2 linked regions of the Callithrix jacchus genome follow. The protein of the gene in region 2 interacts with the protein of the main gene of each other region in a biochemical or structural test. Links are inferred from orthologs where the notes say so. Each region holds a gene or a part of one and is shown on either strand. Other genes may lie near its edges.

The links.
Region 1: the proteins of PPFIA1 (region 2) and GIT1 form a complex in vitro, tested with the Homo sapiens proteins (2 studies listed by BioGRID). The link is inferred for Callithrix jacchus from reciprocal best matches to the Homo sapiens genes PPFIA1 and GIT1.

Annotation. Positions count from the first base shown.
Region 1 is NC_133506.1:104,019,879-104,024,325, reverse strand, and holds the start of GIT1 (ARF GTPase-activating protein GIT1), read right to left. Parts: upstream 3,038-4,447; 5' UTR 2,776-3,037; coding exon 2,724-2,775; intron 1-2,723. Other genes in the region: ANKRD13B (ankyrin repeat domain-containing protein 13B), read left to right, coding at 3,612-3,749. UniProt on the Homo sapiens protein: GTPase-activating protein for ADP ribosylation factor family members, including ARF1.
Region 2 is NC_133511.1:127,324,271-127,328,076, reverse strand, and holds part of PPFIA1 (liprin-alpha-1), read right to left. Parts: intron 2,479-3,806; exon of another isoform or gene 2,344-2,478; intron 2,268-2,343; exon of another isoform or gene 2,199-2,267; coding exon 2,033-2,198; exon of another isoform or gene 1-2,032. UniProt on the Homo sapiens protein: May regulate the disassembly of focal adhesions. May localize receptor-like tyrosine phosphatases type 2A at specific sites on the plasma membrane, possibly regulating their interaction with the extracellular environment and their association with substrates.

The sequences.
Region 1 (4,447 bases), on a different chromosome or scaffold from region 2:
AAGCTGCCAGAGCAGCCACACCATGTCCAGCTCCCTCCCAACACACTCACTCTTGTCCCGTGCGCCCAGGCCTGGAAGCAGAGGGAGCAAGGGGCTCTCTGGGGACAGGCTGCATCTCACCTCTGACCTCCATGACCTCCCAAATTAACCAAGCACAAAAGCCCCTGAGCCTACTCAAGTGGCTGGAACTGCAGGGCTCCTGCAATAAGAGAAGCCTGTGACCCTGGGGTGGAGTCATACACCACGGGGGCTGGCAGTGGATCTGGCCTCCAGACTACCGGGTACCCTCATGCCTCTCTGCCTGAGATGCTACAGGACCCAGACCAAATGTGCCACTGCTCACCAGGGCCAGCATCCTAATTGTCCAGGTGTGGGACAGTCCCAAACAGCCAGCCAGGGTCCTGACAAGCAGCCAAACACTCGGAATGCCTGCCACATGCCAGACACCTTGCTGGGTGGGAGGTGGGATAATGAGTAAGACTTTGTCCACATCCTTCCCCCACTACCATCCTCACCTTCTCACTACCTTCCTGACCTCTATTGGGGATCAGGGGAAAGGAGATATCTGGGGCACAAATGCCTCTGACGGATGAGGACCTGGGGGTAGGAGCTGGGCAATCCAACATACTACACGCTCACCATTCCTCCCTGAGCTCACTGGGTATCCAGAGGCTTTGGCCAACTACTCAACGCAATGTAGCAAGGACAACTCCCAACTGGGCTCGGTGGCTCAGGCCTGTAATCCCAGCACTTTGGGAGGCTGAGGCAGGTGGATCACCTGAGGTTGGGAGTTTGAGACCAGCCTGACCAACATGGAGAAACCCTGTCTCTACTAAGAATACAAAATTAGCTGGGCGTGGTGGCACATGCCTATAATCCCAGCCACTCAGGAGGCTGAGGCAGGAGAATCGCTTGAACCTAGGAGGCGGAGGTTGCAGTGAGCAGAGATCACGCCATTGCACTCCAGACTGGGTAACAAAAGTGAAACTCTGTCTCAAAAAAAGGAAAAAAAAAAGGGGTAACTGCCTTGCTGGTGTTGCCCTACACCTCACTGCCCCAGAATCAGACCACAGGTTCAGAGATGGCAGCCCCTCAAAAACAATTTCTACTCCAACTTCTTTGCCTCAGAATTGAGGAAACTGAGGCCCCCACAGTGATGAAAGTCTTGCTGGGGTTACAGAGTAAGCTGGGAACAAAGGTACACTACACTAAAGCCCAGGCTCCTCTGATAGGGTATCTGCTAAGCCTCTCCTCCCATCATTCCATGCCCACACCATGGAGGTGCGGAACAATGGGACAGACATTTATAAGGCAAGGTGTCCTCAGCCCTGCCATCCCCAGACCTGTCTGCATCTGGGGAAAGGGAGTCACAGTTTCTTAGGGGTATGGACCCCCACTCCCAGATAGCTCCTCCAGTCATAATGCCCATCGAGTATCTCGTCCCCAAGCCCTGCCAGGTTCCCAGTTCCCAAATACTCTAGCTTGGCACCCCCAGAACCACCAGAGCATCTGTGAGGCTCAACCTGTGGGGTCCTGGGCCTGCTCAAGGGGTGGCTGAAAGTTATGGGTCCACAAAACAGCACACCATACTCTCACTCTTAATCATGCCCACTCTCCCTAGAGTCCACAGACCTCTGGAACCTGCTCCCTGCTCCAGGGAGACAGCTCCTTTTCTAAAGAAAGAATGGATGGGGCTAGAGCTTCCCTCCCAGGCCAGCTGCAGAGCCCCATCACTGGCTGTCCTCCCCCATCAGAAGGGAGCAGCCTCTAGGATCATTACTCCTAACTTCCTCAGCAGGCCAGGGGGGTTTCACTCCAGCCCAGTCCTAACTCTGCTACGAAAGAGAAGGGAACCACTATGTAAATACATCCAGGAGGCAGGCCAGGAAGCCAGCAGGATGGGGGAATCTAGGCACTTTTTTGCCACTGCCTCCCATCCATTTCTGGCCAGACTGGGCTAGCGGACAGGGAGGAGCCGAGCCCAGGATAGCTCAATGCCAAGCTCGCGTTCTCAAGCAGGCCTTACTGGGGAACAGCAAAAGCAGGGTCCAGCCGAGCTGTTCCCAGTCACCAGCAGGCCTGGGGATGCCGCCAGGGAAAACACCCGGGTCTGGACTGGCCCTGAACACCAGGCCCCACAAGGAGCCCCAGCGTTAGGAACCCGAGGCAGGGAGTCCTGGGAGTAGCCACCGCTCATCTGCTCCTGAGGAGACGGTATCCAGGCTCCACTGGCGCATATGCCCGGCCCTCTGCTCCTTGCCCTCCACCACCCCGGCGGGCGTGCCGACCACGAGAGCAGCAGGTGCAAGACGCGGGGGTGGCACTGAGATGACACAAAACCACACTCGCCCCCTCCTCCCAAACCCTGCCGGCCTCCGCCACGGCCCTCCTGCCACCCCAGGCTGGCGCTTCCGTTGGATATAGAGATGGAGGTGGAGGAGCAGCCAGCTGCCCGCCTCCCTCAGACCGAGGGGTGGGAGGCGGCGCCGGGAACGTCCTTCCTCGCTAGTCCACGGCCGCCAGGGAGCAGGGGCCTCCCCAGGCCGGCTCTCCAGCCTAGGACGCGGCTCCGCAGTGGCCCGGGCGGGGGCCGAGCCTGGAGGCCGAGGCCCCCCGCCCGGCCCCGCCCTCGGGCCCCGCACGGCGCTCCCGCCTGGCCCCGGCGCCCGCCCGGCGGCGGCGGCCTGGCTGTGCGGTCCCGCCCCCGGCCCGGCCGCGCTTACCCGGGGCGCTGCAGTCCGCACACACCTCCGTTCGCGGCCCCTTCCGGGACATCCTCAGCGGCGACGCGGCCGCAGCCCTCTGGGCCAGCGTGGGGGGCGCGGGCGGCGGGCCCGGGCGGCGGCGGCGGCGGTCCCTGCTGCCCGGCCCGGCTCCGGCGTGGCCCCGGCGAGGCTCCGCGCGCCCGGCCAACCGTCCGCCCCGGGGCTGGCCCGGAACCCGCCGTGCCCGCCTGCCCGCTCGCCCTCGGGCGTCCTCCGCCCCGCGCCGCCCCGCGCCGCCCCGCCGCCGCTTGCCGCTCCTCTCTCCGCCCCCTGCGCGGCTCCCGGCCGCTCCTGCAGGAAGCGGCGCAGGCCCTGCCCACCGGGGGAGGGGCCGCACCCCCGCCCCGCCGCGCGCTGCCGGCCGCGCCCCCCGGAGAAAGGAAGCCCGGGCGCGGGAGGGAGGGGGGCGGGGACGCTTAAAGGGGCCGCGGCCGCCGCCGGGTGCCGGCGGGCAGCGTGGCCTGAGGCCTCGGCCTCTGCTGCAGCGCTCTCCTGGCCCGGAGGCAGTGTGAGTCACCCTCACAGCCCCCTCCCCTTCACTTTCGGTGTCGGGTGGCCCGGGCGACGCTGGGCCCAGGGACAGCGAGGGCGGGGATTAGGGAAGAGAGGAAGGACTTGGAGGCCCAAGTCCCGCTCCACGTCAAAGGGGCTGTGCCTTGAGTACCCGTCTATCTCTGGTTGGGGTGAAGTGTGCGTCCCGGTCCTGTAGTGTCCACATCTGTGTGTCCAGGTGTGTGTGTGGTGTCACACTCTTGCTGAAAACGCCCACACAATATGGACGCCCAGGTGCCGGAAAGGTCAGGCAGTGTATTCCTGTCTTCGGACTAAAAATACATCTATCTCTCCATGCATGCTTCCATCCAGAGAGGAGAGAATCTGGACGGTTTTAAAGACCTCCCGAGGAGTGACCACTGTGCCTGTGTGCACTCATATCCACTTGTCATCCGGCCTATACACACCCACGGTGTTTCTGGGCCACCAGAGGTATGTGTGTCCAGAAAGGGTTCATATAACATAGAGGGGCCATTTCAGGTGACGGCTTTTCTTCTGGATTCACACGAAGAGACAGGCAAAGGCGAGGCAGGTGAGGAACGTGGGTGGCCAGGGGGGCAGGGAGCCTAGGTGCAGGCCGCACGTGGGTGCAGCCCCCGCACTGAGCATGCTCCCACGTACACGTGTGCCGCGCGTGCACCCAACCCCCAATCCCTGCAGCAGCAAAAGGCGGGGCACTCCTCTGCTTGTGGGGAGAGGGCAGGGGACCCCAGGGCCAGACCTGGGGGCCAGATCAGTGGTGACGATTGAGGAAGAGTTCTCCAAAAGTCAGAGTCTCCTGCTCGGTAAGAAGATGGGGGCAGTCCTTGGGCAGGGGTGCTCAAGTTGGTAGATTTATCCCAGCGGTGCCAGAGCAGCAGTGACTTGTGGGTGGGCAGGCTCCTTCCCTAGGGGAGACAAGTAATGCTCATGAGTCACACCACCCGAAATACATGCAAAGCTGCCTCCATCGCCTTTTGCTGCGGCCCAGATTGACAAGTTTGTTTGAAATCGCGATCTATGGGCTTTATTTATAATTGCACCTTAAAAAAAACCTTGCAGGCCTCCCCTACCCCAACAGCCAGCCACTCAGCCGGTGGGGCTTTTGCAAGCAACGATACCTAACGGGTATGTAGTGGGGAGCACCGCGT
Region 2 (3,806 bases):
GTAGCTGGGAGTACAGGCGTATGTCACCATGCCCAGCAAAGTTTCTTGTATTTTTACTAGAGATGGGGTTTCGCCATGTTGGACAGGCTGATCTGGAACTCCTGACCTCAGGTGATCCACCCACCTTGGCCTCCCAAAGTGATGGGATTACAGGTGTGAGCCACCATGCCCGGCCTGGGTTTACTATTCATTCATCCAAACTCTCATTCTTAATATTCCTGTTAACATTTGACAAGGGGAATGTGACTTATCAGAAGGAAAACTGAAATCGAAGCCACAAGGAAAACATGAACACACTCATGTGGACTCTTCAGGTGACAGAGCCTGAGTTGAAGGCCAAGCTATAGTTACACTTTCTAAGAATTATATGCATGATTCTTGGAAGAAAAACAGTAATTTTTTAAAAGTCCCTAGTTAAAAAGATATACTGGATTTTCTTCCATAAGTATATTATAAATCTCTGGCAAACAATAGGTAAATAATATAGCGTTTTACTAACAATGCCACAAAGTAAGCCATTCACACCCAAAATGTCCGGTTTAACTAAGGTTTTATAAAAATGTACTCCTGATTTCTATGCAGGTGACAGAGAATAAAACTTAGGAACCTACTTATAGGAGGGGTAATGACAAACAATTTTGCAAAACCCTCATTAGCACAGTTTTCAGTTATTATTATTATTTTGTAGAGATGGGGTCTCACTGTGTTGCCCAGGCTAGTCTCAAACTTGAGCTCAAGTGATCCTCCTGCCTCAGCCTCCCAAAGTGCTAGGATTACTGACATAAGCCATCATGCCTAATTAGCACTTTAAACATTTTTTTTGTTTTTTTGAGACAGAGTCTCACTCTGTTGCCGAGGCTAGAATGTGGTGGCACAATCTTGGCTCACTGCAACCTCCACTTCCCTGGTCCAAATGATTCTTGTGCCTTAGCCTCCCGAGTAGCTGGGATTACAGGCACGTGCCACCACGCCTGGCTAATTTTTGTAGAGACGGCCTTTTGCCATGTTGGCCAGCCTGGTCTGGAATTCCTGGCCTCAAAGATTAGCAGTTTTTAATGCCACTTCGTTTCCTCCAGTCTGCTTGCTGCCCTCAGAACGGAGAATGAGTGACAGCGGCCTGGAGCACAGGGGCTGCCGAGCAGCCGCCACTGACACAGGCTTAGAACTTCACCAGCTTTATGAATGACACATTTAATCGTCACAGATACTCTATGGGGAAGGTACTACTACGATGGCCATTTGACAGATGGGGAAACCGAGGCACAGTGCAGTTAAATGACTTGCTCAAGGTCATGTACCTCCTAGCAGCAGAGCTGGAGTCAAACCTAGGCAGCCTGGCTCTCCAACCTGTGCACTGCCTTTCATTAGATGAGTGCAGGATTAGAGCCGAGAGACCTGTCAGGAAGCCATGGTCAACTGTTAACCTCGAATCAAAGTGGTTGTCAAAGGGAAGACCCCACACAGCGCCTGACATCATGGCAGTGATATGCTCTCTCTGGCTGGTATATTCGGTGGCGGCCTCACTCCACTGGGGACTTCTGGGAGGTAGACGTGACTGCACAAACAGCAGCAGCAGGGAGGGGAGAAAGGCAGGCAGAGCTTACATGAGCTGGAAAGTGTTATTTAAAATGTACTGGGTTATTTTCTCTGGTGCGCGGAGCACTAAATTCTGTGGTCGGGAAGCTACTACTCCACTGTTTCCTGAAAGAGCTTCCAGCACGGCCTGGCGCGCACACGTGGCTACAAGGACGCCTCAGGCTTCCTGAGAACACGGACGAGCACTGAGCTTCATTAGTTGGAAAAATATGCTAAGATTCAACCAGACAAAATGTTTTTTAAAATTCTCTTATTATGGTTAAACTTCTGTAAACAAATGTTAGAGCTAATTTAAAAACATTTATTTTGGACATGCAACCATACTCAAGTGCCTTGTAACGTATTAAAGAGGCGGTTTCAGACCATGATTAATGCTCCAGACAGAAAGCTGCTCATGCTCCCCGCAAGCTGCCAGTTAGCGCGACCCACCACATACCGTCCATCTGCATCTTCTTTGGCTGCATAGAGGGCGAGGACATGGAGGAAGTCACCCGGAAGTTTGCAGGGAGCGTCTCTGCTGACCCAGCAGCTAAGCCACGAATGTCCTTTGGTCTAAACTTTTTTCTCCATGAAGGTGCTCTCCTAAAGCTTTTATCATCATCCTGGTAAATGAAAGAATAAACAGCCAGGTTCATTTAAAAAATAATAAAGGTCAGAGATGGAAAGTTAAATGTGCTTTATAATGACTGCTGAACTCAAGAATGTTTTCTTGTTCACATGTACGGAATCCCTTCTTTATGACCACAGTGTATTGCTCAAACCGGAACTTCAGCAAGAAATGGGGCATGGTGATGGTCGGGCTGTGTCTCAGCTAGCTGACTGAGGTGGGTGCTGGGCCGTGGGGACGATCCTTCTACCCAGCATCATGGCTGAGTGAGGTGGGTGCTGGGCCGTGGGGACGATCCTTCTACCCAGCATCATGGCTGAGTGAGGTGGGTGCTGGGCCGTGGGGACGATCCTGCTACCCAGCATCATGGCTGAGTGAGGTGGGTGCTGGGCCGTGGGGATGATCCTGCTACCCAGCATCATGGCTGAGTGAGGTGGGTGCTGGGCCGTGGGGACGATCCTGCTACCCAGCATCATGGCTGAGTGAGGTGGGTGCTGGGCCGTGGGGACGATCCTTCTACCCAGCATCATGGCTGAGTGAGGTGGGTGCTGGGCCGTGGGGACGATCCTTCTACCCAGCATCATGGCTGAGTGAGGTGGGTGCTGGGCCGTGGGGACGATCCTGCTACCCAGCATCATGGCTGAGTGAGGTGGGTGCTGGGCCGTGGGGACGATCCTTCTACCCAGCATCGTGGCTGAGTGAGGTGGGTGCTGGGCCGTGGGGACGATCCTTCTACCCAGCATCGTGGCTGAGTGAGGTGGGTGCTGGGCCGTGGGGACGATCCTTCTACCCAGCATCGTGGCTGAGTGAGGTGGGTGCTGGGCCGTGGGGACGATCCTTCTACCCAGCATCGTGGCTGAGTGAGGTGGGTGCTGGGCCGTGGGGACGATCCTTCTACCCAGCATCGTGGCTGAGTGAGGTGGGTGCTGGGCCGTGGGGACGCTCCTTCTACCCAGCATCGTGGCTGAGTGAGGTGGGTGCTGGGCCGTGGGATGATCCTTCTACCCAGCATCGTGGCTGAGTGAGGTGGGTGCTGGGACGTGGGGACGATCCTTCTACCCAGCATCGTGGCTGAGTGAGGTGGGTGCTGGGCCGTGGGGACGATCCTTCTACCCAGCATCGTGGCTGAGTGAGGTGGGTGCTGGGCCGTGGGGACGATCCTGCTACCCAGCATCATGGCTGAGTGAGGTGGGTGCTGGGCCGTGGGGACGATCCTGCTACCCAGCATCATGGCTGAGTGAGGTGGGTGCTGGGCCGTGGGGACGATCCTGCTACCCAGCATCATGGCTGAGTGAGGTGGGTGCTGGGCCGTGGGGACGATCCTTCTACCCAGCATCGTGGCTGAGTGAGGTGGGTGCTGGGCCGTGGGGACGATCCTTCTACCCAGCATCGTGGCTGAGTGAGGTGGGTGCTGGGCCGTGGGGACGATCCTTCTACCCAGCATCGTGGCTGAGTGAGGTGGGTGCTGGGCCGTGGGGACGCTCCTTCTACCCAGCATCATGGCTGAGTGAGGTGGGTGCTGGGCCGTGGGATGATCCTTCTACCCAGCATCATGGCTGAGTGAGGTGGGTGCTGGGCCGTGGGGATGATCCTTCTACCCAGC